Linked DNA regions of Anolis sagrei. The protein of the gene in region 1 interacts with the protein of each later gene in a pairwise test. Links are inferred from orthologs where the notes say so. Each region holds a gene or a part of one and is shown in the gene's direction. Other genes may lie near its edges.

Region 1 (7,837 bases):
GCCTTTGTTTAAAAGCTTCAAAGGAAAGAGCTTCACTGGAGTCTGAGGCAGAGAGTTCCAGTGCTGAACAGCTCTTCTTACAGTCAGGAAGTTCTTCCTAATGCTCAGGTGCGATCTCCTCTAATTGGAACCCGTGACTCCATTGTGTCCTACTTTGCATGGCAGCAGAAAACAAGCTTGCTCCCTCTTCCTTAGGACATCCTTTCACGTATTGATACTCCTCATGTCTCCACTCAACCTTTTACTCTACAGCTAAACAGACTCAGCTCTTAAGGCTCCTCAGAGGGATTAATGTCTCCAGACCTTTGATCATTTTAGTCGCCCTCTTCCTCTGGACTCCTAGCTTCAGAGTCAACATCCTTCTGAAATTGCTTTGCCTGGAACTGGACACAGTGATATCCCAGGTAAAGAAGTCTGACCAAAGCCAAATAGAGAGCTACCATGACTTCTCTTGATCGCAGCACTGGACTCATAGAATCATAGAATCATAGAATCAAAGAGTTGGAAGAGACCTCATGGGCCATCCAGTCCAACCCCATTCTGCCAAGAAGCAGGAATATTGCATTCAAATCACCCCTGACAGATGGCCATCCAGCCTCTGTTTCAAAGCTTCCAAAGAAGGAGCCTCCACCACACTCCAGGGCAGGGAGTTCCACTGCTGAACAGCTCTCACAGTCAGGAAGTTCTTCCTAATGTTCAGATGGAATCTCCTCTCTTGTAGTTTGAAGCCATTTGTTTTGTGTCCTAGTCTCCAGGGAAGCAGAAAACAAGCTTGCTCCCTCCTCCTCCCTGTGGCTTCCTCTCACATATTTATACATGGCTATCATATCTCCTCTCAGCCTTCTCTTCTTCAGGCTAAACATGCCCAGTTCCCTAAGCCGCTCCTCATAGGGCTTGTTCTCCAGACCCTTGATCATTTTAGTCGCCCTCCTCTGGACACATTCCAGCTTGTCAATATCTCTCTTGAATTGTGGTGCCCAGAAGTGGACACAATATTCCAGGTAAAGTGGTCTAACCAAAGCGGAATAGAGCATGGTGAGCATGACTTCCCTGGAGCTAGACACTAGGCTCCTCTTGATGCAGGCCAAAATCCCATTGGCTTTTTTTGCCGCCACATCACATTCCTGGCTCATGTTTACCTTCCTCCCCACGAGGACTCCAAGATCTTTTTCACACGTACTGCTCTCGAGCCAGGCATTGTCCCCCATTCTGTCTCTTTGCATTTCATTTTTTCTGCCAAAGTGGAGTATCTTGCATTTGTCCCTGTTGAACTTCATTTTGTTAGTTTTGGCCCATCTCTCTAATCAAGATCGTTTTGAATCCTGCTCCTGTCCTCTGGACTATTGGCTATCCCTCCCAATTTGGTGTCGTCTGCAAACTTGATGATCATGCCTTCTAACCCTTCATCTAAGTCATTAATAAAGATGTTGAACAGGACCGGGCCCAGGACGGAACCCTGCGGCACTCCGCTCGTCACTTCTTTCTAAGATGAAGAGGAAGCATTAGTGAGCACTCTCTGTGTTCGTCCACTTAACCAACTCCTTTGGATGCAGCCCATAATCCCATTGGCTTTTTTAGCTGCTGCACCACACTCTTGGCTCATGTTCGGTTTGCCCTCCATGAAGACTCCAACCAAGGTCTTTTCCCCATGTAACTCTTGTCAAGCCAGCCGTCACCCATCTTTGCATTTCTGCCAAAGTGTCGTATCTTACATTTGTCCTAGTTGAGATTCATTTTGTTGATTTTGGCCAATTGGCTCTCTGATTTGTTGAGGTCATTTTGAATCCTGATCCTGTCCTCTGGAATATTAGGTCTCCCTCCTAATTGGGTGTCATCTGAAAACTTGATAAACATAGGTAAAGGTAAAGGTAGTCCCCTGACATTAAGTCCAGTCATGTCTGACTCTAAGCTGAAGAGCCAGCGTTGTCCGTAGACACCTCCAAGGTCATGTGGCCGGCATGACTGCATGGAGCACCGTTACCTTCCCGCTGGAGCGGTACCTATTGATCTACTCGTTGATAAACTACTATTGATAAACATACCTAGAGGTAAACCAAGAATGGGCAACTTGGAAGTCCCTGAACAGACTCAGAAGTGGAGTTAGCAGATCAAAAGACAACCACTGCCTAGAAGAATCCTCCACCTTGTGCGAGTGTGGAGCAGAACAAACAACTCAGCATCCGCATGCTTGTCCAGAATGCCCTGCCTCATGCACAGAGGGAAAATTCTTTAAAGCTGCCGACATTGCGGTTGCTGTTGCCCAGTTTTGGTCAAAAATTCTTTAACCGCTTTGTTGTGGTTTATCAGTCTATGTGGAAGCTACTCAGCAGTCTTCCCAGCCCCAGCCCTCTGTTGATTCACACAGTCAGAGTAAAAGGGAAAACAAAATTTACCCTTGAGTAGTACGCAGAGGCGGCCCTAGGTAATTTTCAATGGTAAGCAAACAGTATTTTGGTGCCTCCTCCCCCCCCCCCACCCAATCATTGATATATATTTTCTGTTCGTCGTGGGAGTTCTGTGTGCCCTATTTGGTTCAGTTCCATCATTGGTGGAGTTCAGAATGCTCTTTGATTGTAGGCGAACTATACATCCCAGTAACTACACTTGCCGCACTTGCTCCCTTGCCTGGCCCGCTTTGGGTCTGGAGGCGTGCCTGAAGACCCCAGTGTGTGCACCAAAAGTCACCTCTTCTCCTGACTTTCTCCTCAGCCATTGGGACCGAGAGAGAGAAAGAGAGAGAGAGAGAGGTGGAGATGCCCACCTTTCCTGAAGGTAGGTGCAAAAACAAAGGAGGGAGCGGAGGTGGGAGATACTTCCAGCCGGAGGGGCTCTCTCTCTCTCTCTCTCTCTTGGTCCCAATGGCTGAAGAGAAAGTCAGGAGAAGAGGTGACTTTTGGTGCGCACGCTGGGGTCTTCAGACACGCCTCTGGACCCGAAACGAGAGAGGAGAGGAGGCGGGTGGAGTGCCGGGGGATCAGGAAAGGGAGCCAGTCATGGGGAAGGGATCGAACACGGAGAACGATTGAGCGCCGGCTCTGCTCGCGCACCCGCTGGCCAGGTGGAGCAGGAACGAGAGGGGCTAGGCGAGGCTCAAGGGCCCGGCCCCTTTGGGAAGAGGATCGCCCGGCAGCGAGGCAAGGAAGCTGAGGCTCCCCCCGGACTGCTAGGGCTGTTGTGAGCTGAGGGGGTGCTCCTCAAGTGGCGGTCGAGGGGCATTTACAGAGGCGCCTCTGCGCCCCTGGCAAAAAAAAAGTGTTCTGCGACCGCTTACTTCACGTAATGGACGAGCCGCCCCTGGTAGTCAGAGATCAATATGCAGCTTTACAAAATAACCAGCCTTGAAAATAAACTCAGTCCATTGCAGAAAATAACTCGCACAAAGTCCAATGCATTAAAACCGTGCATTCTCTGTTTCTTCAATGCTGCAAGGAGTCTTGTAGCAAATGGTCCAGACCTTCAGCAAGTCCTGTAGTAAGTCCATGGTAGAATGACCATCAGCATGGAAGTCCCATCATTTCTCTCCATGAACGACTGTCTTCATGATCTGAATGCTCCTCATGATATACTCCTTGCAGGGAGTGGCTCAAGCTTGATTGCTTAATTGTCCAGGTGTTCTTCCTCAACACGCACCCATACAGGAGATGATCCTTGTGAAGACTTAGCATACATATGCACACCCTGTAATACGCTTGCATTAACTCTATTTTTAATCAGTTTTATACTTATTCATGCAATGCTTTGGAAATGAAATAAATAAACTTTCATCCAAGTCATGAATTGTTGCAGCCTGGTCAGGGTCTGAGTACTCGGAGGATGAGGAAGGGGAGGCTGGGATGCACCCTCAGGGGGCATGAACATCACTCAAGGGGTGGAGTTTCCTGTCAAAGGCGGGGCTTGTAGCCCGATGGGCGGGGCTTCCTCTCAAAATGCGGGGCCTTCAGCTGTAGGGCGGGGCTTCCCCTCAGAGGAATTCCACTCAAGGGGAGGGGCTTCCTCTCAATCAGCGGGGCTTACTTTGTGGTGGGCGGGGCTTCCTCTCAATGGGCGGGGCCTTCAGCTGAAGGGCGGGGCTTCCCCTCAAGGGCATGAATTCCACTCAAAGGGGAGGAGCTTAAAGCCTGGGGGCGGGGCTTCCCCTCAAAGGGAGGGGCCTTCAGCTGAAGGGCGGGGCTTCCCCTCAAGGGCATGAATTCCACTCAAAGGGGAGGAGCTTAAAGCCTGGGGGCGGGGCTTCCCCTCAAAGGGAGGGGCCTTCAGCTGAAGGGCGGGGCTTCCCCTCAGGGGGCATGAATAATACCCAAGGGGGCGGGGCTTCCTCTCAAAGGCGGGGCTTGCAGCCAGATGGGCGGGGCTTGCGGCTGAAGGGCGGGGCTTCCCCTCAGGGGTCATGAATAATACCCCCAAGGGGCGGGGCTTCCTCTCAAGGGCGGGGCTTGTAACCAAATGGGCGGGACCTGCGGCTGAAGGGCGGAGCTTCCCCTCAGGGGTATGAATACTATTCCAGGGGGCGGGGCTTCCTCTCAAGGGCGGGGCTTGTAGCCGGAGAGGCGGGGCTTCCCCTCAGGGGGCATGAATAATACCCAAGGGGGCGGGGCTTCCTCTCAAAGGCGGGGCTTGTAGCCAGATGGGCGGGGCCTGCGGCTGAAGGGCGGGGCTTCCCCTCAGGGGGCATGAATATTCAAGAGGGCGGGGCCTATAGCCTGGGGGCGGGGCTTCCTCTCAGGGGGCACGAATACTATTCAAGGGGGCGGGGCTTCCTCTCAAAGGTGGGGCTTGTAGCCAGATGGGCGGGGCCTGCGGCTGAAGGGCGGGGCTTCCCCTCAGGGGGCGGGGCTACCTCTTGGGCGTTTCCAGGGCAACCGTCGCCCTCCTCCCGGAGGACCATAAAATCCCAGCCTCGGCCTGGACTCGAGGCCCAGGGACAGTGAAAACACGGGACAGGAAGTGCGTCACCTGCCTTACCCCAGGACTTCCGGCTCCCCTACGGAAGCCGGAGTGCGGGGGCCTGGAGCTGTTTCGCTTGGGAGTCCGCGATGTCGTGCCCGCCGCTGGAGGCGCTGCGCGGGGGCCTGGAGGCGGCGCTGTCGGGGCTGAGAGGTGAGGGCCCTTCCTTCCTTTCGGGAGGGATGGAGAGAGAGGGGGCGCTCTGCACGCGCTCAGGGGCACGCTTGTCTCGCAGGCGGAGAGGCCGGGCGGAGCGGCGACGGAAGCCGAGAGGAGCCAGAAGAGCAGCAGCAGCAGCACGAAGAAAAAGAGGCCGCCTTCGACCCCGGAGGCTTCTGGGATGCCCTGGGTAGGTAGCCAGGGGGGAGGTCTCTCTCTGGGGCGCCTCTCTATGGCCTTGGAGGACTTCTTTCTCTCACTCTCACTCTCTGTCTCCCTCCTTCCTCCTCCTCCTGCAGGGGGCGCCTTCGAGGCAGCCAGCCGAGAAGCTTCCGCCCTGAGCCTCGCCTTGGCCCGCCCACCGCCGCCGCCCCGCCAGGTGGGTCCTTCCGGGAGAGGGAAGGGGGTCCCCCAAAGGCCATCTAGTCCAGCCCCCTTTATTTATTCCGCCATTCTGCAGGAAGAGCACCATCAGAGCCCTCCCCACAGATGGACACCCAACCTCTGCTTAAGAATAATTATTATTATTATTATTATTATAGACTGCTTCACCATCATAGCAATAATAGAATCCTAGAATTGGGAGCCCCAAGGGTCATCCAGTCCAGCCCCTTATCTTCTTCCAGGCAGGAAAAGCACAGTCAAAGCCCTCCCAACAGATACTCATCATGCCTCTGAATAATAATAATAATAATAATAATAATAATAATAGTAGAATCCTAGTGTGGGAAAGGAACCCCAAAGGTCATCCAGTCCAGCCCTCTTTATTCTTTCAGGGAGGAAAAGCACAATCAAAGCTACCCTGATAGATGGCCATCCAGCTCCTGTTTACTACTACTACTACTACTAATAATAATAGAATCTTAGAATTGGAAGGGAACCCCAAAGGTCATCCAGTCCAGCCCCCTTAATCCCGCCATTCTGCAGGAAGAGCACCATCAGAGCCCTCCCCACAGATGGCCACCCAACTTCTGCTTAATAATAATAATAATAATAATAATAAGACTCTGCTTCACCATCATAACAATAATAGAATCCTAGAATTGGAAGGGAGCCCCAAAGGTCATCCAGCCCAGCCCTCTTTATTCTTTCAGGGAGGAAAAGCACAGTCAAAGCCCTCCCAACAGATACTCATTATGCCTCTGAATAATAATAATAATAATAATAGGGGAAGAATAATAATATCACCATCATAGCAATAATAGAATCCTAGAGTGGGAAAGGAACCCCAAGGGTCATCCAGTCCAGCCCTCTTTATTCTTTCAGGGAGGAAAAGCACAATCAAAGCTACCCTGATAGATGGCCATCCAGCCCCTGTTTAATAATAATAATAGAATCTTAGAATTTGAAGGGAACCCCAAAGGTCATCTAGTCCAGCCCCCTTTACTCTGCCATTTTGCAGGAAAAGCACCATCAGAGCCCTCCCGGTAGATGGCCACCCAACCTCTGCTTCATAATAATAATAATAGTAATAATAATAATAATAATAATAGAATCCTAAAATGGGAAAGGAACTCCAAAGGTCATCCAGTCCAGCCCTCTTTATTCTTTCAGGGAGGAAAAGCACAATCAAAGCTACCCTGATAGATGGCCATCCAGCTCCTGTTTAATAATAATAATAACAATAATAATAACAATAGAATCTTAGAATTGGAAGGGAACCCCAAAGGTCATCTAGTCCAGCCCCCCTTTATTCCGCCATTCTGCAGGAAGAGCACCATCAGAGTCCTCTGGACAGATGGCCACTCAACCTCTGCTTCATCATCATAACAATGGAATTCTAGTGTTGGAAGGGACCCCCAAAGGTCATCCAGCCCAGCCCCTTATCTTCTGCCAGGCAGGAAAAGTACAATCAAAGCCCTCCTGACAGATAGTCATCATGCCTTTGAATAATAATAATAATAATAATAATAATAATAATAGTTGTTTGATACTCATGTTAGGTGCCTTTTTGATTCATGATTCAAGTTTTGGAATTTTACTTTGGACGTTTCTATATTTGTTTTTCATGAACTCTGATGGATTCATTTCCTAGACTATTTGATCCTGCTTATCTTTCTGCTTATCTTAGATTTACCTATTTTGTTCATTCGTTTCGTCGCTTCCAACTCTTTGTGACTTCCTGGATCATCCCAAGCCAGAGCTCCTTGTCAGCCGTCCCCACCCCTCTCTTATTATTGCAAAGGCTGGATGGCCATCTGTTGGGGGTGCTTTTCCTGTATGGCAGAATAGAGGGGGTTGGACTGGATGTCCCCTGGAGTTTTCCATTGAAATACTGTTAAGTTTATGTTGGTCAAAAAGTTTGCCCATGCCACACACATTATATATACTGTATATATATATATAATATATAATGGGCCTTAAGAAGCATTGCTAACAACAAGGCAACAGGAGACGACGGGATCCCAGCTGAACTGTTTAAAATCTTAAAAGATGATGCTGTCAAGGTGATGCATGCCATTTGCCAGACAGAGGTCCTCCTGGTCAGTCGCAAGGCCGAACAGGGCATAGGGTTACAGCCTGTGTTGGATGGGGCCGCACTCCCCCTGAAGACTCAGGTTCGCAGCTTGGGTGTGACCCTGGACTCATCCCTGAGCCTGGAACCCCAGGTTTCGGCGGTGACCAGGGGAGCATTTGCACAGCTAAAGCTTGTGCGCCAGCTGCGCCCGTACCTTGGGAAGTCTGACTAGGCCACGGTAGTCCACGCTCTGGTTACATCCCGTTTAGACTACTG
Region 2 (7,641 bases), about 63 Mb from region 1:
GCTCAATCGCAGACTCTGCCTCTCCCTTGCCGAGCTCAGCATCTTTTGCAGAAACTGCCCTGAAGGGGAGGAGCCACAAAGTCCAAAGTCTTGTCCATTGTGTCAATTTGGTTCCTTTTTTGGCAACAGAATGACCCGGCTGATGGAGAAAGACAGCTAGATATATTCCCCGCCTCTTCCTAAGTCTGGGTTTGTGTCTTAACTTCCCCGCCAATGGCGAAATGGAGGCTTGCCTTGAGGTCTCCAGCTTCTGAAAGCGAAACGAATGCTTGAGGAAGAGGTGCTGGGCCAGAGAAAGAGGCCTCAAAAAAGGTCCATCCTCTGTTTGCATTTTAATCCATGTATTTTTAAAGGCCAATCCTTTACTCGGCATTAGCCAGACTGTGGACCCAGCTCCAAAGCAATGCAGGTCCTTCCAATTTTCTTTAATATTCAAACAGGGGAGGGGGTACTCCATGTGCATGTACACCAGGCAACCTCAAACTGTGGCCCTCCAGCTGTTCGGCCCTCCAACTCCCAGAAGCCCCAGTGAGCCTATTCAGTAGTCAGGAATTTTGGGAGTTGGAAGCCCAAACAGCTGGAGGGTCACAATTTGAAGATGCCTGATCTACACTGTAGAATGAATGCAGTTTGACACCACTTTAACTTCCATGGCTCAGTGCTGTGAAATCGTGGTTGTTGTACTTTTACAAGGCCTTTAGCCTTCTTTGCCAAAGAATGCTGGAGCCTTACCAAGATACAAATCCCCTTGATTCCATATCACAAAACCATGACAATTAAAATGGTGTCAGACTGAATTCATTCTACTGCTTAGATGCAGGTGGATTGAAGGTGGTTCATAAGTGCGGTGTCCAAATTACACTTGTCCTGGTTAGAGGCAGGAGTAAGCAGTTCTGACCCCATTATTTAGGAGGTGTATCTGACTATACAATTATAGCCACCAATAGCTCTATTTTAAGGTCTCGTGGGATGTACAGTTCAATGAAGTACTTCAGATTCTCCCTTGGAGATAATTCATTCTCTCTATCATCTTTCAGGTATTTTGGACTTCAGCTCCCAGAATCCTTGAACATTTCCCAGGTGTCCTGGGCTGAAATTTTAAAGATCTGGAGGAACCACTGTCTGGTTCACTCCTTTGAACTCCACGGCCTCTTCCACACAGCTGAATAACATGATCTTCCCACATTATCTGCTTTGAACTGGAATATATAGTAATGTGGACTCCGATAACTCAGTTCAAAGCATATATTGTGGGGTTTTCTACCTTGATTTATTTATTGATATTGACAAGCTGGAATGTGTCCAGAGGAGGGCGACTAAAATGATCAAGGGTCTGGAGAACAAGCCCTATGAGGAGCGGCTTGGGGAACTGGGCATGTTTAGCCTGAAGAAGAGAAGGCTGAGAGGAGATATGATAGCCATGTATAAATATGTGAGAGGAAGCCACAGGGAGGAGGGAGCAAGCTTGTTTTCTGCTTCCTTGGAGACTAGGACGCGGAACAATGGCTTCAAACTACAAGAGAGGAGATTCCATCTGAACATTAGGAAGAACTTCCTGACTGTGAGAGCCGTTCAGCAGTGGAACTCTCTGCCCCGGAGTGTGGTGGAGGCTCCCTCTTTGGAAGCTTTTAAGCAGAGGCTGGATGGCCATCTGTCAGGGGTGATTTGAATGCAATATTCCTGCTTCTTGGCAGGGGGTTGGACTGGATGGCCCATGAGGTCTCTTCCAACTCTTTGATTCTATGATTCTATGATTTATTTATTTATTTATTTGCTTTACTTCTATACTGCCTTTCTCCGCCGAAATGGCGACTCAAGGTGGTTTACACAGTAAAGATCATCACAACAATATCAAAAAGACAATTAAAAGCAAATTATACAAATTACACCAAAACAAACAATCATTATCATAGGCCTCAGCAAACAAATCAGAATCAGAATCCGTAATCATAATCCTTTACCAAATCCTATGTTCAGTTGTACCATCTTCGTGTATTCATTGCAGTATTTAGCCAAATGCTTGTTCGTAAAGCCAAGTCTTGACCTTCCTCCGGAATGCCAGCAATGAAGGGGCCTGTCTGATGTCCACAGGTAGGGCGTTCCACAGCCGAGGGGCCACCACCGAGAAGGCCCTGTCCCTCGTCCCCGCCAACCGCGCCTGCGATGTAGGCGGGACCGAGAGCAGGGCCTCCCCAGACGATCTTAATGTCCTAGTCGGTTCATAGGAGGAGATGCGTTCGGAGAGGTAAGTATTGATATTCTGGGTTATATGGCTGTGTGGAAGGGCCCCACACCCCAGATTCCTTAACATGGTTTCAGATCACATGGTTATACAAAGTAGTGAGAAACTGATGTAACAATGTAATGCGGATACTTCTCCAGTGATGTGTGTATGTGTCATTAAGATACTGTCAACTTATAACAATCCCATTAATTTCATAAGGTTTTCCAAAAGGGACTACTCAGAAATGGTTTGCCAGTTCCTTCCTTTGAAATAGAGCCTACTGAACTTGGCATTCATTGTTGGGTTTCCATCCAAGTACTAACCAGAGCTGTTCCTGCTTAGCATCCAAGATCAGATGGGATCTGGTACCTTTAGGGCAGTGGTTCTCAACCTTTTTTCACCAGGGACAACTTGACCACTCTCCAACATTAGTACCAAAAGGGCTACAAATCAGTTTTTGGTAAACTTTAGATTTGGCTTGGTTATTTGGGATGCTGATTCAGAAAATTGCATTGGATAGACCACATCAGCTCTAGTTTCTGACACAAAACATAGGCCATCCAGTAGTTGCCATCTGCTCTCCCACAGAAAGCCATATTTAATAAGCTTCAGCACTATAAGAAGTTTCGCAAGACCAGTCACTCTCTTTGCAATGGTAGTAACAGTGAAGCTGTGGACCATATTTTAGTTCTTGCAGACCACTTGTGGTCCACGGATCACAAGTTGGGACCCACTGCTTTAGGGCATTAGGCTCTTCCTCAAGTGGGCTGCCCTCCAAAGCCAAAGGAAGTGCCACAATATGTTTTTGAGGCACCTCACCACTGGAGAAGCAATGCAGTCTGCCACCATCTTTACTGCTACGGTTCAGTGCTGTAGAATCCTGGGAGGTGTAGTTTGGCGGGACACCAGCACTCTTTAGCAAAGAGGGCTGAAGACCTTGTAAAACTGTAAGTCCCATAATTATATAGCATTGAGTCTTGATAGTTAGAGTGGTGTCAAACTGCATTTCTTCTGCAGGGTAAATGTATCCTATGCAGACACCATAGCACTGGCTTTTGTGGCCTTTCAAATATTTTGGGGTGGCAGCTCCCATCACTCCTGGCCACTAGGTAGGCAGGGTAGAGTAATGCTTTTCAAAATAGTCACCAGGGAGTCATGATCTGCCAACACATTGCATGGGTGGATGATGATGATGAGGTGCCCTACAATACTTGGAGAGACTCTGTTGCTGGCCCAGCTTTGAGGTTGCAGCTTGGCCTTCTCCTGAAAATGCCAGCCCGGGCTTCAGAAGCCTGGAGTCCCTTTGGCAAAGAGGACTCAAGCTTGCTTTCAGGATGGCTTGAACCTGGGATATTCAACAGGTGTACTTGCTTTTTAAGGCAGAGAATACCAACTGGGAGTGAGAGCAGCCTCCCCATCATGTTGTTTTTTTTAGACTAATTATTTTATTCAGAACCAAAGAAAGCATTATAATCAAACTGTCCTTGCAATGCTTGCATAGAAGTGGGAGGGCATCAGCAATGAAGGCAGAAGTTTCCAAACTGTCGTGACACGCCAATGTGTCGGCTGCAGTGTGTTGGTGCGGCACACAACTGTAACGTGAAACCTGAGTCTATAGCAGGCCTGGCCAAACTTTGGCCCTCCCAATGTTTTGGACTTCAACTCCCACCATTCCTAACAGCCCCAGGCCCCTTCCCTTTCCCCCTCAGCCTCCATCTCCCTGAAGGGACTTAGGGCGGCTTATAAGGGATGTGCCCAGCAAATACAGATTAAAAACAAACACAGAAATGCAGTCAACATTTAAAAACAATATACCCTGGTTAAAGCCTTGTGTCGGCAGGACTGAAGACTGACAAGTCGGAGGTACAAATCTGGGGAGAACGTGGATGAGCTCCCTCTGTCAGCTCCAGCTCTCCATGCGGGAACATGGGAGAAGTCCCCCACAAGGATGATAAAACATCAAAACATCCTCTGGGCAATGTCCTCGCAGACAACCAATTCTCTCACACCAGAAGCAACTTGAAGTTTCTCAAAGTCGTTCTTGACACACACACACACAAAAGGTCTGGAGTTGCATCTACATTGCAGACTTAATACAGTTTGACACTACTTTAGCTGTCAGGGCTCAGTGCTAAAGAGTCGTGGGGGTTGTTGCTGTACAAAGCTTTCTCTACCCAGGAGTGCTGGTGCCTCACTCAATTAAAAACCCCAGGCATCAAGCCAGGGCATTTTAAAGCGGTGTCAGACCGCGCTCATTGTGCAGTGTAGATGCAGAGGGTTGCTAAAGGACCCACGCAGCTCGTGCCCGTGAGGAATGCAGCTGGAGGAGGAGGGGGCTGGGCTTCAGGCCTCCTCTTTGCTTCTCCCTCCCATCCGCTGCGTCTTGAGGCGGAGGAAGTCAAGAGAGATCCAACGCCGGAGCTCCTCCTGCGCCCATCGCCGGCTCGCTTCCTCCCCGCCTGTCCATCATCCCTAGAGGAGGCGGGGCTTAGCGGAGGCCCCGCCCCTTCGCCCAGTGTCCGGAGCCTGCCTTTGAGGGGCTTCTCTTGGAAGCATTGGGAGGGAGCAAGATGTCGTCTGGAGCGGCGCCCCCGAAGAGCGGCTCTCCTTTAAGAAAGCGGGCCAGCCTTCAAGCCGTCGTGGGAGGAGGAGGAGGCGGAGGAGGTGAGCGTGGGAAGATGGCATTTCCTCCCCCAGCCCTCTTTTCCCAAGCTAGGGGGGGGTTCTCTTCATGATAAAGCACCCCAATTCCTCCCCCCTCCCTTCTTCTGCATTTCCCTGCTGTGTTTCCTTCTTCCATAGGCTAATGGCTGCTCCTTGGGTTGGTTGGATGCTTGGCTGAGCAGACTTGGGTGCATCTGTACTGTAGAATTAATGCAGTTTGACACCGCTTTGCAGCCATGGCTCAAGGCAGTGCAATCAACTGTAGCTTGACAAGATCTGTAGCCTTCTCTACCAAAGAGGGCTGGTGCATCACCAAATTTCCAGAATCCAGTAGAATTGAGCCATGGCATTGAAGTGACCAACTTCACTGTTTCTGTAGAACAGACCTGGGTGCTTTGTACTTCAACTCCCACCATTCCTAGCAGCCTCAGGCCCTTTCCTTTTCCCTTGATGCACCTTCCTCTTGGCATGCTTCTCCCTTTCGCCCTCCATTTGTGCCGCTTCGAATTCTGCAGCACTGCTGGTCACAGCTGACCTCCAGTTAGAGTTCTCAAGAGCCAGGGCTTCCCCGTACTCAGTGTCTATATCACAGCTTTTAAGGTTGGCTTTCAGCCCATCTTTAATTTTTTTTCCCCCTGTCCACCAACATTCAAGAGAATGCAGCCACCTGTGGCACAGTGGGATGATAATAATAATAATTTTATTTTTATTCCTCACCTCCATCTCTCCAAAGGGACTTAGGGCGTTTACAAGGGACGTTCCCAGCAAATACAGATTAAAAACAAACACAGAAGTGCAATCAACATTTAAAAACAATAAACCCTTGTTAAAGCCTTGTGCTGGCAGGACTGAAGACTGACAAGTCCAGACATTTTGGACTTCCAACTCCCACCATTCCTAACAGCCTCAGGCCCTTTCCTTTTCCCCTTCAGCTGCTTAAGTGGCCTGAGGCTGTTGGGAATGGTGGGAGTTGAAGTCCAAACATCTGGAGGGCCCAAGTTTGCCCATCTTGATATAGAATGATATAAAACCCTTCAATTCTTAATCTTATCCATCTGTGACGTAGATTGCACAGCCCAAGCAGAAATCTTATTTCTTGGTGTCTTGGTTTTTAGGCACGTTCCTAGGGTTATTTGAACCACTGATTCGGAAAATAGCGTCAGATAAACCACATCGGCCATAGTTTCTTAGATAAGGTTGTTGTGATTTTCTATGGGTGATCAGATGGCAACTGGTATATGGCGTATGTTCTTCATCTCACAAACTCGAGCTGATAGGGGAAGACTGGTGCCGTTTTTGGAACCGTCAGATGAAACATACCCAGAAATGAGTTTTATTTGTGTGTCGGCCAGTGATGTAATTCAGAAAGATGCACATTGCGACCTTTGTCTTCAAGGTGTGATGGGATACAGGTCTTTCACATCTTTACAAGGGTCTTTTAGGATTCATGTATAAAAACAAAGCATGTTCAGAGGTGGGTCCCTCTGTGAATGTGCAGTAAAATCCCTAAAGGCACTTATAGAATCATAGAGTTGGAAGATACCTCATGGGCCATCCAGTCCAATTCCCTGATCATGTCTGGCTCCTGGTCCTGACCTTTAATGCTCTATATAGGAGCCCCCAGTGGTGCAGTGGGTTAAACCCCTGTGCCGGCAGGACTGAAGACTGACAGGTCACAGGTTCGAATCCAGGGAGGGTGCGGATGAGCTCCCTCTATCAGCTCCAGCTCCTCATGTGGGGACATGAGAGAAGCCTCCCACAAGGGTGATAAAACATCAAAACATCCAGGCATCCCCTGGGTGATGTCCTTGCAGATTGCCAATTCTCTCACACCAGAAGCGACTTGCAGTTTCTCAAGTTGCTCCTGACATGACAAAAAATATGTTCTATATGCCAGAGGCTTAAATCCCCTACAGCAGTGGTTCCCAACCAGTGGTCCACATGAACTAAAATATGGTCTGTGGCCTCACTATTACTACACTGTTGCAATAAGGGTGACTGGTCTCGCGAAACCCTCTTATAGTGCCAAGGCTAATTAAATATGGTTTTCTGTGGGCGAGCAGATGGCAACTACTGGGTGGCCTATGTTCTGTATCAGAAACTCGAGCTGATGTGGTCTATCCAATGTAATTTTCTGAATTAGCACCCCAAATAACCAAACCGAATCTAAAGTTGACCAAAAACAGATTCGTAATCCTTTTGGTACTAATGTTGGAGAGTGGTCAAAGTGGTCCCTGGTCATATGGCCCCCTTGGTCAAATGGTCTTTGGTCAAAAAAAGGTTGGGGATCTCTGCCCTAAAGCCACCGGCTCTTGTCTGATCTTGGAAGTTAAGCAGTGTCCGTTCTGCTTAGTACTTGGATGGAAGGCCATGTACAGGTCCTGCAAACTGTTTCAGAGGACTGAACTGGCGGAACCATCTCTGGTTATGTCTTGCCTAAGAATACTCTATGGATTTTATGGGGTCACCATAAGTTAATAATAAGAAGAAGAAAAAGAAGAAGAAGAATCTTTTCTTTATATCCCACCACCATTTCCCAGAGGAACTCGGGGCGGCTCACAAAACACTCAAGGTATGACATGCAAAATGCAACAAGTGCAAAACAAAACATATGACTAGACAATAAACAATCAACACAACATCATAAATTCACAGTACCCCCTTGTAAAAACAATGAAATATAGTCATTGCTGTGGATAAAACAGCAGTATTCGATTTCAGAAATATAACATGCTAATAAAGAATCTAAAGGC
Region 3 (7,854 bases), on another chromosome or scaffold:
AAGAGAGTTAACCTTCTTATTCTCTCTCCCCCTTTTCTATTTCTATTCAGACTCATTTGAATCTCTCAATCACCCCTCTAGAATGTGATGCTGCCTGCATGGCAAGCTAAACCCAACAGAAAATGATCCCCCCATTGCATTTCCATGCTCAAAAGTGTTCCCCTAATAAGGTACTTCAAGTAACACAATCCTTCCTAGACAAAAAATGGCGAACCAGACACATCAGAGTATAGAGCAGTAGTTTCCAACCTTTTTTTGACCAGAAACCACTTGACCAGGGATCACTATCCAACATTAGTACCAAAAGGATTACAAATCAATTTTTGGACAACTTTAGATTCGATTTGGGTATTTCGGGTGCTGATTCAGAAAACTGCATTGGATAGACCACATTAGCTCTAGTTTCTGATAAAGAACAGATGCCATCCAGTAGTCATCATCTGCTCGCCCACAGAAAACCATATTTAATAAGCTACGGCACAGCGTTTTGCGAGACCAGTTGCTCTCGTTGCAATGGTGTAGTAGCAGTGAGGCCACGGACCATATTTTAGTTCTTGCAGACCACTGGTGGTCCACTGACCACAGGTTGGAAACCACTGGTGTAGACAATGAAGGTACTACCACAGGAGGACTTCCTGAAAATTTGATATCTCCAAGTCTTTGGAGAGTCACTGCCAATAAACGGAAATGATAGTAAACTATATGCACTAATATGAACCTTTTTGGAAAGAGGTTTTGCCACAGAAAAGGCTGAACTGAATAAACTAACTAATTTATATATTAGGATTATCTTTCCGTGGGTATCAGTTGACGTTGTCCGAACCAATACAGAATAATATTAAAGTCTCTGATTCTAAAGCCTTTTCTGTAATTGCAGGGCTGAAATAGAATGTAACAGTATCCAGAAAAATGCAAATATTCTAAAGGATTTTAAGTCATTATTCACTGCATATGCAAGTGAATAAGCATAATTCACAATCATAATGAGTCCCCTTTGGGGAGATAAAAAGGGGTAGAAATAAACATAATAAACATAATAATAATAATAATAATCATCATCATCATTATAACATAGGACTTATTAAAAAGGAAAGTTAGGAAGCAATTGGAAATCTGTTTCTTCAGTACCTTTACTGATTGAAGAACGCTCGTTCCGCTCTCTGTTTCTATTCTGCAGTTATCACATTCAATTTTCTCAACTTTTACACAGCCATTTCCTGATGTCTTGATATCCAAGTCTAAAATAAATATCAAATTGCAAGATAAATGGAATTCAGCACAATAAATGTGTTATTTCAGTTAGCAAAGCTACAAATAATAAAGGAAGTACCATACCACATTCACAACATTAATGAGCAACAGGAAGTCTATGGTCTTAATAATAATAATAATAATAATAATAATAATAAACTTTATTTATACCCCACTCCATCTCCCCCAGGGGGACTCGGTGCGGCTTACATGAGGCCACACCCATCAGTACAGTACACACAATATAACACAAAACATAACAAATCATAGAATCAAAGAGTTGGAAGAGACCTCATGGGCCATCCAGTCCAACCCCCTGCCAAGTTTATTATTATTATTATTATTATTATTATTACTATTATTATTAAAACTTAATTACTGTGTCGTGAAAGGATGTATTCCCCCAAATGGTAGGAAAGCTCTGCTTCTGGGTCTTTGGACACTCTCTTCCAGCACATGTAATAAAAATTCAATGTGCAGATTTGATATAAGGATGTCTGGGAATGAATGGAAGAATGGAGGGATGGATGGATGTATTTTGGAAACACCAGTATGATATTAAGGCCTGCAATGACTAATATCTGCTTGCTGGACTTGCTAATGAGAAACCCTGATAAGAACGGGACAGTGATAAAGGAAATGTTTGTAACCTTCCTTATGTTAAGAAGAAAGTCAACACAAGCCTTGTGTTTGTTAACACCAATCAAGAAAAATCAACACTGAGATGGATCCAGGATGGAAGACGTCTATCATTAATTTACAACTTTGGGACTACATCAACAGAATATTCCTATAAAAGACTCAGTCTAATAATGCTCAAATGACAGAAAGAGATGCTGTTCACCTGCCATGCTCTACTCCATGGGAAGGAGAGAGATGGTGTATTCAGACAGTGGCAGATCTGCACGGGAGTAGTCTGGTCACTTTGGGGCTTCTTTCTCAAGGGAAGAGGAAGAAGTGTGCTTTTGGAGTCTTAGATTTGTGCAGGGAGTCAGGTTCTGCCATATGAAAAACAGAGATCTGGTCCTTGGCATTGTGTTTAGGGAAAGAAGTTTCAACATTTCGGCGTTTTGAAGTTTTGGCATTATGGAAGTTATGGAACTATACATTGGCAGGCTGCAGGAAAGCAGGGTCTGGCCTAAGAGGTGCTTCTCCAAGGAGGGAGAAAATGATATGGTAATATTTTGGATGCATGTGGATGAATGCATGTACATGTGTGTGAATGTTGAGTGAAATTATAATTCCACTTTGTTTGTGACCGCATCTCCGTATATGAACCCACATGATCCCTCCGTTCATCTGGAGAGGCCCTGCTCACGATTCCACCTGCGTCGCAAGCGCGTTTGGTGGGGACGAGGGACAGGGCCTTCTCTGTGGTAGCCCCCCGGCTCTGGAACTCTCTCCCCAAGGACATCAGACAAGCCCCAACGTTGGCAGTCTTTAGGAGGAGCTTGAAGACCTGGCTGTTCCAGTGTGCCTTTCCAGAATAGGAAACTCCCAGCATCATGTCCCAAAAGCACTTTATTAGAGATTTAAGATTGTCTGCACATCGCACCTACTCTAAAATCCTTACATTTCACCTGTCATGTCCAGCACTTTTAATCTTATTCATTGCATTTGGCCCGACCCTTAATTTTTAAATGTGTCATGGTGTTATTGTTTAATGTTTACTGTTATTGCTTTAATGTTTATTGGTTTGCTTTTTGAATTTTATTGTTGTTTTTGTTATGCTGTTGTTTATTGAGGGCCTTGGCCTTTGTAAGCCGCACCGAGTCCTTTGGGAGATGTTAGCGGGGTACAAATAAAGTTAATAATAATAATAATAATAATAATAATAATAATTGTAAATCCAATGTAGTTGCATAGAATCTGTATGTCTGTGTGTCCAATGTCATTCTTTGCCTAAATGTTTTCTGTAAACTGATATACCTTCTCAGACTGGAAATTGCAATAAAAAGAACCTATGCTTCAAAGTCATTGAAAAGTCTTCTGATCTTCTCATGGCCAAATGGTGCTCTTTTTATGTAACAAGCAAAGTCATTCTTCATCTCCCAAAACCTGGTTTTCAAAAATCTTGCTAAGTATATTGTTTTTCTTCTGCATATTAGTTTTTATCATTGTTTTGATATCTTATTTGTGAAAACTGCTATGGAATCACTGAGACTGTGGCGCAGCTGGCTGGGAGTCAGCTGCATTAAGATCACTACTGAACGAAAGTTCATGAGTTCGAAGCCAGCCCGGGTCAGAGTGAGCTTCCAACCAATTTTTGTAGTTTGCTGTCGACCTTTGCAGCCCGAAAGACAGTTGCATCCGTCAAGTAGGAAATTTAGGTACCGCTTATGTGGGGAGGCTAATTTAACTAATTTACGATGTCATAACAATTTCCAGCAAGCGTGCAAAGAATGAGGAAGTACTTCATCAGTGTCACAAATGGACAGTGAAGCAACAGTTCCCCTGGTGGCCAGAATACCCTCATGAAAGCTGGAATGGGTATTGTGAATGGGTATTGTAGTAACTGTTTATTAATTGTGTAATGTGTTAGGTTGTTAACTGTTTTTATACTGTAGCACTGAATTTTTGCTGTTCATATTTGTTGTGAACCGCTGTGAGTCGCCTTCGGGCTGAGAACAGCGGTATATAAGTAAGGTAAATAAATAAATAAATAATGTTAAATAGCCTCTGTGTGTCTGTCTATATATGTTGTGTGTCTATGGCATTGAATATTTGCCATGTATATGTACATTGTAATCTGCCCTGAGTCCCCTGCGGGGTGAGAAGGGTGAATATATATATATATATATATATACTGTAAAAGTCATTCACGACACACGTACCAAATTTCATGGGCATTCTCACATCCACCGAGGCAGCACTGTCCACGCCACCTGAGATGATGCTCACTTGCTTAAGCCCCTCGTCGTATTTCACCTGCAAAGAATCCAGGCTTGATCTTGGGTGGTGCATCTCGGCGTTGGCCCCTTTCACGGTCACGAAAACCCTGTCTCCATCAGGGTGCTTGTGGGGGTCCAGGGGGCACAGAGTGATGTGGCAAGGGAGGCGGGCCTTCAGTGAGCCAAAGGGGCACACAGCCAGGGCCCACTCCTTGAGGGCTTCCCTGTTCTCTGGCCTGGGCTCTTTGGGTTGAGAGGGATCTTGACTTCTGCTGCCAGGGCTGGTTGAAAGCAAGCGAGGCAGTAGTTGGCAGGTGCCACTCCATGTTTCCTGCCCAGCAAGGCCTCCTCCACCAGACAGGAACCAGTTCCTTGCTGGGATCCCAGCTGCCAAGTGCCAACATCTGGGCAAGAGAGGCAGCATCATCATGCCCTACCTGTCTGGGCTTAGTCGACCAAGGCAGCTTCTCCTTCCACAAAAATAGATGGTTCCACAGCCCAAGACTTTGTAGACTCTTTGGCTCCTTGCATGAGAGACAAGCCCACCCTCTGGTTTCAAAAAATGTCTAAAACTAGGGCCTGTGAACTGTCCTTCAGGCACTACACTAGCCTAGCCATGCCCAAGTGGCTGCTGGGAAATGTGGTTTCCACTCAATTTTTCTGAGAGTCTTGAACGACAACTCCCAGAATGCAGAGCGTCAACAGCGACTGGGAAGAGAGGATGTTTTCGTGCGGTGCGGAAGGAACAGCCAATAAGAAGAAAGGAGGCGGAAGAGGCGGGAAGAGGCGGAAGCAGAGCGTCGGTTTCCATGGGAACGCACGACGCTGAGGGAAAGGCGGCAGGAGCGTCGTGGGAGCTGAAAGGGTAAAGCGGGCCAAGGCTGGGAAGGAGGTCGAATGAGTAGATACAGTTATGTCAAACTGCGTTCATTCTGCAGTGTAGATGCCCCCACTTTCCCCTCGGTTTACTTCAATTGTTTTAAGTGGCTTCACGGAGCAAAAGGGTCCTCATGCTCCATTCTCTCAGTAGGGGAAAAGGGAAAGGTCGAAGGGAAGAGAGGGAAGGCCTTTCTTCACAGCCATATCACCCAGAATATAAAGGCATATAGAATCTCCTTTCTTGTAGTTTGACGCCATTGTTCCGCGTCCTAGTCTCCAGGGAAGCACAAAACAAGCTTGCTCCCTCCTCCCCGTGGCTTCCTCTCACATATTTATACATGGCTATCATATCTCCTCTCAGCCTTCTCTTCTTCAGGCTAAACATGCCCAGCTCTTTAAGCCGCTCCTCATAGGGCTTGTTCTCCAGAACCTTGATCATTTTAGTCACCCTCCTCTGGACACATTCCAGCTTGTCAATATCTTTCTTGAATTGTGGTGCCCAGAATTGGACACAATATTCCAGATCCTGCAAGGAAGACTCCAGCAATACATGGAACGAGAGTTACCAGATGTGCAAGCTGGGTTTAGAAAAGGCAGAGGAACAAGAGACCAGATTGCCAAAATTCGCTGGATAATGGAGAAAGGCAGGGAGTTTCAGAAAAACATCTATTTCTGCTTCATTGACTATTCTAAAGCCTTTGACTGTGTGGATCATAATACATTGTGGCAAGTTCTTGGTGGGATGGGCATACCAAGCCACCGTGTCTCTCTCCTGAGGAATCTGTACAAGGACCAAGTAGCAACAGTCAGAACTGACCACGGAACAACAGACTGGTTCAAGATTGGGAAAGGCGTACGGCAAGGCTGCATCCTCTCACCCAACCTTTTTAACTTGTATGCAGAACACATCATGCGATATGCGGGGCTTGATGAATGCAAGGCTGGGGTGAAAATTGCTGGAAGAAACATTAACAACCTCAGAGATGCAGATGACACCACTCTGATGGCCGAAAGCGAGGAGGAGCTGAGGAGCCTTCTAATCAAGGTGAAAGAAGAAAGCGCAAAAGCTGGGTTGCAGCTAAACATAAAAAAAACCAAGATTATGGCAACAAGAATGATTGACAACTGGGAAATAGAGGGAGAAAATGTGGAGGCCGTGACAAACTTTGTATTTCTAGGCGCAAAGATTACTGCAGATGCAGACTGTGGCCAGGAAATCAGAAGACGCTTACTTCTTGGGAGGAGAGCAATGTCCAGTCTCGATAAAATAGTAAAGAGTAGAGACATCAGACTGGCAACAAAGATCCGCCTAGTCAAAGCCATGGTATTCCCTGTAGTAACCTACGGATGTGAGAGCTGGACCTTAGGGAAGGCTGAGCGAAGGAAGATAGATGCTTTTGAGCTGTGGTGTTGGAGGAAAGTTCTGAGAGTGCCTTGGACTGCGAGAAGATCCAACCAGTCCATCCTCCAGGAAATAAAGCCCGACTGCTCATTGGAGGGAAGGATACTAGAGACAAAGTTGAAGTACTTTGGCCACATCATGAGGAGACAGGAAAGCCTAGAGAAGACAATTATGCTGGGGAAAGTGACGGAAGGCAAAAGGAAGAGGGGGCCAACCAAGGGCAAGATGGATGGATGGCATCCTTGAAGTGACTGGACTGACCTTGAAGGAGCTGGGGGTGGTGACGGCCGACAGGGAGCTCTGGCGTGGGCTGGTCCATGAGGTCACGAAGAGTCGGAGACGACTGAATGAATGAACAACAACAAAACAATTTAAAAACAATTTAAATTGTCTGGAGAACAAGCCCTATGAGGAGCGGCTTAAGGAGCTGGGCATGTTTAGCCTGAAGAAGAGAAGGCTGAGAGGAGATATGATAGCCATGTATAAATATGTGAGAGGAAGCCACAGGGAGGAGGGAGCAAGCTTGTTTTCTGCTTCCCTGAGGACTAGGACACGGAACAATGGCTTCAAACTGCAAGAGAGGAGATTCCATCTGAACATGAGGAAGAACTTCCTGACTGTGAGAGCCATTCAGCAGTGGAACTCTCTGCCTCGGAGTGTGGTGGAGGCTCTTTCTTTGGAAGCTTTCAAACAGAAGCTGGATGGCCATCTGTCAGGGGTGATTTGAATGCAATATTCCTGCTTCTTGGCAAGGGGTTGGACTGGATGGCCCATAAGGTCTCTTCCAACTCTTTGATTCCATGATTCTATGATTCTAAAAACAACAATATCAGACATCAAAGGTCTGTTGACACAGATATGTCTTACATGCCCTGCGGAAAGCTGATAGGTCCCGCAAGGTGGCAGAGTATTCCAGAGCGATGGTGCCACTGCTGTGAAGGCTCTGCGCCTGGTTGCTGTTAGACGCAAGGTCTTGACGCTGGGAATTTCCAATAGATCTTGGTCCTCAGAACGGAGGGATCTCTGGGGTTGGTAGGGGGTGAGGCGGTCCCTCAGGTACATCGGCCCCAGACCATGCAAGGCCTTAAAGGTGAGTACCATCACTTTGAAAGTAATCCGGTGCTCAATTGGTAACCAATGCAGCTGTAGTAAGATTGGTGTTATGTGGCATCTCATCAGAATTCCCGCAAGAAGCCGAGCAGCTGCATTTTGTACCAACTTGAGCTTCCAGATCACCGACAGAGGAAGGCCAATGTAGAGGGCGTTACAGTAGTCCAGTCTTGAGATGACCGTGGCCTGGATCACCATAGCTAGGTCGTCCCTGGACAGGTAGGGGGCCAGCCGTCTAACCTGCTGCAGATGAAAAAAGGTGGGAATACCATTGCTTTGACTATGCGGATCTTTGTTGCTGGTGTGATGTCTCTACTCTTT
Region 4 (7,605 bases), on another chromosome or scaffold:
TAAGTCTGCCCGACCGACCGTTCTTGAGTTGCCCCTACCCTACTCTGACCTTGCCTAACTACCCCACTGAACCCCAGTTGAGATCCTACTTGACTGTGACCAAAGGTTGGCTAACAGTTACCCCAAAACTAAGTCTCCCCGACGGACCGTTCCTCAGTTGCCCCAATCAATCCAACATTGCTGGTATTGATCCAGCCGGTTTGCTCCTTGCTGGATCAATACCCCTAATCAAAGGATTAACTACCTTCCCAGAATTAACCCCAATGGACTTGGGGGGTCGAATCCCCCCCAACTAGATCCAAAAGTCAACTCACCGCAGAGCCCTATACTTTGTCCCACTGTCCCCCAAAATTATCTAGTCCGAACCCCCAGTTGTAACCCACCCCCAGTGACTTGGCCCCCCAAGGGTACCCCACCCAAGGGAACCCCAAAAGTTTCTCCTGCTGACCACAAGTTGTCTATTATCTCTCCCCCAAACTGACCCCACTGTACCCCCAAATCTGTCCCTGCTCTGCCCCCCAAATCTGCCCCCCAAGACCCCCAGGTAGCTCCCACTTGCCTCTGCCTCTCTGCCTTCCTTCCTATCAGGAGGAACCGGAGGAGTGACTGAGAGAAGAGAAGAGAAGGAGGAGGATTTATTCGCCCAAGTAGAGGAGGAGGAGGAGGAAGAAGAGGAGGAGGAGGAGGGTTAACCCCGTCCTGCCCGGAGGACGGCAAAGGACCCCTCCCCAAAACACACCTTGCCAATATAGACTATTGCACCCATACATACCTATTATTATTGTTGTTGTTATTATTATTATTTACACTATACTTGCCTTTACCTGCCCATAGAGAACCTGTTGCACCCATTAATGTCTATTATTATTATTATTATTACACTATATTTTTCCTTGCCTTCTCATGGAGAACCTGTTGCACTCATTAGTATCTATTACTATTATTATTATTATTATCATTATTATTCACAGTATTTGACCTTACCTATTTAGGGAGGAACCTATTTCACCCATAAACAACAACAACAACACACTATTTTTGCCCTTACCTGCTCAGGAGGGAACCTGTTGCACCTATGAATATCTATTGTTGTTGTTGTTGTTGTTGTTGTTATTTCACTATACTTGCCCTTACCTGCTCAAGAGAGAACCTGTTGCACTTATAAATATCTGCTATTGTTGTTGTTGTTGCACTATATTTGCCCTTACCATCTCAGGAGGGAACCTAGTGCACCTATAAATATCTATTATTATTATTATTATTATTATTATTGCTGTTGTTGTTGTTATTGCACTATACTTGCCCTTACCTGCTCAGGAGGGAACCTGTTGCACCTATTATTATTATTATTATTATTATTATTATTATTATTATTATTGCTGTTGTTGTTGTTATTGCACTATACTTGCCCTTACCTGCTCAGGAGGGAACCTGCTGCACCTATTAATATCTATTATTATTATTATTATTATTATTATTATTATTATTATTGCTGTTGTTGTTATTGTACTATACTTTCCCTTACCTGCTCAGGAGGGAACCTGTTGCACCTATAAATATCTACTCTCCTTCTCCTTCTCCTTCTCGTTATTATTATTATTATTATTATTATTGCTGTTGTTGTTGTTGTTGTTGTTATTGCACTATACTTGCCCTTACCTGCTCAGGAGGGAACCTGTTGCACATATAAATATCTATTATTATTATTATTATTATTATTATTATTGCTGTTGTTGTTATTGCACTATACTTTCCCTTACCTGCTCAGGAGGGAACCTGTTGCACCTATAAATATCTACTCTCCTTCTCCTTCTCCTTCTCGTTATTATTATTATTATTATTATTATTATTATTATTATTGCTGTTGTTGTTGTTGTTGTTATTGCACTATACTTGCCCTTACCTGCTCAGGAGGGAACCTGTTGCACATATAAATATCTATTATTATTATTATTATTATTATTATTATTATTATTATTATTATTATTATTATTATTATTATTGCTGTTGTTATTATTGCACTATATTTGCCCTTACCTGCTCAACCTGCTGCACCAATTAATATTATTATTCCTATTACGATGACTAATATTGCATACTTGTCCTTGCCTGCTCAAGATGGCACTGGCTGCACCAATAACATTAGCATTAGTATTCTTATTATCTCAGGGAATTTGCTCTTGCAAACAACAACAACAACACTACAATTAGAAGAATAATAATTACAGACTCACTGGAGCCCTAAAGTGAGGCGGGCAATATCGCCACCTGGTGGTCAGTGCTAGGAATGCCCTCTTCTGCTCCACAAGGTCTCTCATTAGTACTAATTATTATGATTCTCATCATCATCACTGTCATCAGTGCTATAAACATCTATGGCCTCCCCAGGACACCATATAAATAATCAATTAATTATTAATATTCTTAATTGTTATTACTTGTGAATAATTAATTATATTATATTAATAGTTAATAATTAATATTAATAATTAATATTATTATTAATATAACGAATATGGCTAATTTAATATAACTAAATTATAATTAATATTAATAGTTAATAGTTTCCTATTAATTGATATTAATTAAATATTAATATTAATTAATATTAGTGATTAATATAAATAAGTATTAATAGTTAATACTTAGTAGGCATCCTATTAATTAATATTAATTAAATATTAATATTAATTAATATTAATAATTCAAGTAATCAATTATTAATAGTTAATAATGAATATTAATAATTAATATTATTGATATAACGAATATAGCTAATATAATATAACGAAATTATAATTAATATTAATATAATTAATATTTTGATTTTGATTGATGATTAATATTAATTAATGTTAATATTTAATTAATATCAATTAATAGACATCTTATTAATTAATATTAATTAAATATTAACATTAATTAATATTAATAATCAATATAATTAATTATTAATAGTTAACAATTAATAGCCATCCTATTAATTAATATTAATTAAATATTAATATTAATTAATGTTAATAATTAATATAATTAATTATTAATAGTTAATGATTAATAAGCATTCTATTAATTAAAATTAATTAAATTTTAATATTAAGTAATATTAATAATTAATATAAATAATTATTAATAGTTAATGATTAATAGGTATCTTAACTATTAATTATTATTTATATAATATTAATAATTATTAATAGTTAGGATACCTATTAATCATTAACTATTAATAATTATTTATATTGATTTATATTAAAAAACCAAAACAAAATTCAAATGAATATTAATTACAGTAATTTCCAAGTAGGTACGGGCTTTTCCTAAATTAACAAAGCGTGCTTAATGTTGTGTTTAAGGGAGAATTAAATTATCATTGCTAATTATTATTAATTATTATTATTATTATTTATTAAATAATAAATAATATTAATTAATATTAATAATTAATATTAATAATTATTAGGTATCCTATTAATACTAATTATTAATTATTATAATTAATAATAATAATTAATAATAATTAGCAAATAGCAATGATAATTTAATTCTCCCTTAAACACAACATTAAGCACACTTTGTTAATTTAGGAGAAGCACGTACCTACTTAGAAATGAATTACTGTAATTAATATTCATTTGAATATTAATTTGAATAATTTGAAGAGAGGGGAAAAAATTAGCAGAGGATGGTTTCGATCCATCGACCTCTGGGTTATGGGCCCAGCACGCTTCCGCTGCGCCACTCTGCTCCATTGGAACTCCAGGCGGCTTAGGGAGTACATAAGAGCATGTCACGTTCTGCGCATGCGCACGTTTCTTGGAGTCATTTCCTTTGGAGTCTCTCCTCCTAGGGAAGCACCGCGCATGCGCCCCTTTCGCCTCTTCTCTCCATCTCCTCCTAGGGAGGCACTGCGCATGCGTCCCTTTCTCTTCTCTCCATCTCCTCCTAGTGAGGCACTGCGCATGCACCGCTTTCGCCTCTTCTCTCATCTCCTCCTAGTGAGGCACTGCGCATGCGTCCCTTTCTCTTCTCTCATCTCTGCCTAGTGAGGCACTGCGCATGCGTCCCTTTTTCCTCTTCTCTCTCCTCCTAGTGAGGCACTGCGCATGCGCCCCTTTCGCCTCTTCTCTCCTCCTAGTGCGCATGCGTTCCTTTCTCCTCTCAATCTCCTCCTAGTCAGCCACTGCGCATGCGTCCCTTTCTCCTCTCAATCTCCTCCTAGTGAGGCACTGCGCATGCGCCCCTTTCTCTCAATCTCCTCCTAGTGAGGCACTGCGCATGCGTCCCTTTCTCTCCCTCTCCTCCTAGTGAGGCACTGCGCATGCGTCCCTTTCTCCTCTCAATCGCCTCCAATGAGGCACTGCGCATGCGCTCCTTTCTCCTCCTCTCTCCTTTCTCCTATTGGCGAACGAGGAGAAAAAAGAGAAAAGGGTGTGCGCGCGCGGCCTGATTGATAGGCCCAGAAGCCAATAAAATCACAGAACCTGAAAGAAAGGGCGGGGAAAAAAGAGGAACGCGAGACAGGAATTGGCTGCAAGGTTAGGAACCTACCACGGCGGGTTTTACTCACTTGGGAAGGCCAATCGCGTCGACGCTTCTTGCGAGGTGGACAAAGGCGGCGGCGAAAGAGCGGGCCGGGTGGTTATTCTTCGCGGAGGGTCTTCAGGGAGGAAGAGGCGCTTTGCGGACTCGGAACGGTTCTCACTGGAAGGAAGCATGAGGTAAAAAGAGGGAGAAGTCAGAGAGAGAGATGGAAATATGGAAATATACATATTATATTATGTATATTATATATATATATATATATATATAATATTATTATAATATTATAGTATTTAATTTAATAAATATATTATATTATTATATGTATATTTAATATTTAATATTTAATATTATTATAATATTATAATATTTAATATAATATATATATATGTATATATATAATGTTATTATAATATAATAATATTTAATTTAATATATAATATATATATTATATTATTAAATATAATATATAATACTAAATATAAAATATATATTATATGAAAATTATATATTTATTTAATATATATGAGATAAATAAAATACTATGTATATTATTTAATATTGTATAATGTTCTATATATTAAACATTACACATTAAATAATATATGTAGTATTTTATTTATCTCATATATATTAAATTTAATATATAAATAATATATAGATAATATAGATACATTCTCTATAATATATATAATATCTATCTGATATTATATCTATATGATCTATATATTAGATATAATATCATATACATATTATAGAGAATGTATCTATATTATCTATATATTAAATTGTAGATATATTATCTATAATATAGATAATAGATAATATAGATACATTCTCTATAATATCTATATGATCTATATATTAAACATTATACAGTATTAAATAATATATATAGTATTTCATTTATCTCATATATATTAAATTAATATATAATTTTCATATAATATATGTTATATTATAGATAATATATCTACAATATAATATATAATCATCTATATTATCTATATTATAGATAATATAGATATAATTTAATATATAGATAATATATTATAACTATATATAATATAATATATCACACGCATATTAAATATTATACGATATTAAATATTAAATAGTTTATTTAATATATTATAGATACTCAATATATTTAATGCTATATATATATATATATATATATATATATATATAATATGCACAGACTATATAAAGGCCTTAAATCACCATATATATATATATTATGTTATACTTATATAATTTTAAATATTGTATAAGATTTAATCTATATATATAAATTTGTTAGGGGCATCCAACGAGGAAACAAAACTCAAAAACCCCCCAACGAAACTGTACCAAAATTGCCATGCCCATAAGACAACCCACAAGGTACAAACATATCTACTCAAAATGAAAAACAACACAACAACACACTCACAAAACGGCAAAACAATTGAGCATGCGCATTGGTGCCCAGCCGCAAGTTCCCTGGCGCGCGCACACAGTTCCCTCTGCGGAAGCCATGCCCACTCCAAGCCCCGCTACGCTCCTTCCCGTACACACACACCCCGCCGCAAGCACACACACAACCCCACGCTCCATCACTCCCCCCGCCGCACACACACACGCAACCCCACGCTCCATCACTCCCCCACCGCCACATACACACGCGCAACCCCACTCCCCCCCGCTGCCGCACACACACACGCAACCCCACGCTCCATCACTCCCCCCGCTGCCGCACACACACACACAACCTCACGCTCCATCACTTGCCTGCCCCAATCTTACCTCCTTTTACTTCACGCCACCTCCAAACCCCACCGCACCCCTTCCCGCCCTGTCAAAATCCAGGAAAGACAGGAAGGAAGGAAAGAAGGAAGAAAGAGAAAGGGAGATAAAGAAAAGGGGGAAGGAAGGAAAGTTAGAGAAAGAAGGAAGAAGAAAAGGAAAGAAAAGGAAAGATGGAAGGAAAGAAAAGAGAGACAGCAGAAGAGAAAGAAAAAGGGGGAAGGAAGGAAAGAGGTAGAGAAGGAAGAAATGAGAGACAGAGGGAGGGAAAGAAAAAGGGGGAAGGAAGGAAGGAGAGAAGGAAAGAAAAAAGGGAATGAAAGAAGGAAAGAGGGAGTGAAGGAAGGGGGAAGATGTAGAGAAAGAGGGAGGGAAGGAAAGAAGGAAAGAGAGAAGGAAGAAAAGAGACCAGAAGAGAAAGAAAAAGGGGGAAGGAAGGAAAGAGAGAAGGAAAGAAAAAAGGGAATGAAGGAAGGAAAGAGGGAGTGAAGGAAGGGGGAAGATGTAGAGAAAGAGGGAGGGAAGGAAAGAAGGAAAGAGAGAAGGAAGGAAAGAGGCCAGAAGAGAAAGAAAAAGGGGGAAGGAAGGAAGGAGAGAAGGAAAGAAAAAAGGGAATGAAGGAAGGAAAGAGGGAGTGAAGAAAGGGGGAAGATGTAGAGAAAGAGGGAGGGAAGGAAAGAAGGAAAGAGAGAAGGAAGGAAAGAGGCCAGAAGAGAAAGAAAAAGGGGGAAGGAAGGAGATAGAGAAGGAAGAGGAGAAGGAAAGATGGGAGGGAAGGAAGGAAGGAGGGAAAGAAGGAGAGAAAGAGGGAAGGTTGGTCACAGCAATGCGTGGCGGGTAAAGGTTGTTATTTCTATGATTATTATGATGCTATTATTCCTCTGAGACCCTTTTAGGGGGAATGGGAGAGGTGTCAGGTCCCGGAGGCAATGCATTGCATTATTGCTATTGTTATGATGGTGGTGAAATAAAAGGAAATAAAAAGCGAAAGAAGGAAGCAAACAGGGAGGGAAGAAAGGCAAAGGAAGAAAGGGGGAGGGAATGAAGGAAAGAGAGAAGGATGAAACCAAGTAGTGAAAGAAGGAAAGAAAGAAAGAGGTAGAGAAGGAAGAAAGGAGAGAAAGGGGGAGGAAAAGGGGGAAGGAAGAGGTAGGTACCTCTCTTTCATAATAGTCCAGATATCTACCTCAACTTTGATAAGTTTTACTATAGGCCACAGCAACGCATGGCAGGGCACAGCTAGTACTGTATATATTTGTGTGGGTGTAATATACC

What was found.
Region 2: the proteins of CCNDBP1 (region 1) and AMPD2 interact in binary tests that used the Homo sapiens proteins (3 or more experiments, as listed by UniProt). The two-hybrid records come from large-scale screens. The link is inferred for Anolis sagrei from reciprocal best matches to the Homo sapiens genes CCNDBP1 and AMPD2.
Region 3: the proteins of CCNDBP1 (region 1) and CCDC146 interact in binary tests that used the Homo sapiens proteins (3 or more experiments, as listed by UniProt). The two-hybrid records come from large-scale screens. The link is inferred for Anolis sagrei from reciprocal best matches to the Homo sapiens genes CCNDBP1 and CCDC146.
Region 4: the proteins of CCNDBP1 (region 1) and ILF2 interact in a two-hybrid assay, tested with the Homo sapiens proteins (2 studies listed by BioGRID and IntAct). The two-hybrid records come from large-scale screens. The link is inferred for Anolis sagrei from reciprocal best matches to the Homo sapiens genes CCNDBP1 and ILF2.

What each region holds. Positions count from the first base shown.
Region 1 is NC_090024.1:247,310,715-247,318,551, reverse strand, and holds the start of CCNDBP1 (cyclin-D1-binding protein 1), read left to right. Parts: upstream 1-4,834; 5' UTR 4,835-5,033; coding exon 5,034-5,097; intron 5,098-5,179; coding exon 5,180-5,293; intron 5,294-5,402; coding exon 5,403-5,482; intron 5,483-7,837. UniProt on the Homo sapiens protein: May negatively regulate cell cycle progression. May act at least in part via inhibition of the cyclin-D1/CDK4 complex, thereby preventing phosphorylation of RB1 and blocking E2F-dependent transcription.
Region 2 is NC_090024.1:184,411,416-184,419,056, reverse strand, and holds the start of AMPD2 (AMP deaminase 2), read left to right. Parts: upstream 1-4,634; 5' UTR 4,635-4,794; coding exon 4,795-4,888; intron 4,889-7,641. UniProt on the Homo sapiens protein: AMP deaminase plays a critical role in energy metabolism. Catalyzes the deamination of AMP to IMP and plays an important role in the purine nucleotide cycle.
Region 3 is NC_090025.1:85,572,814-85,580,667, forward strand, and holds the start of CCDC146 (coiled-coil domain-containing protein 146), read left to right. Parts: upstream 1-4,851; 5' UTR 4,852-5,007; intron 5,008-7,854. Other genes in the region: protein FAM185A, read right to left, coding at 1,129-1,238, 4,086-4,572. UniProt on the Homo sapiens protein: Essential for sperm flagellum biogenesis and male fertility.
Region 4 is NC_090032.1:1,536,519-1,544,123, reverse strand, and holds the start of ILF2 (interleukin enhancer-binding factor 2), read left to right. Parts: upstream 1-4,589; 5' UTR 4,590-4,716; coding exon 4,717-4,721; intron 4,722-7,605. UniProt on the Homo sapiens protein: Chromatin-interacting protein that forms a stable heterodimer with interleukin enhancer-binding factor 3/ILF3 and plays a role in several biological processes including transcription, innate immunity or cell growth.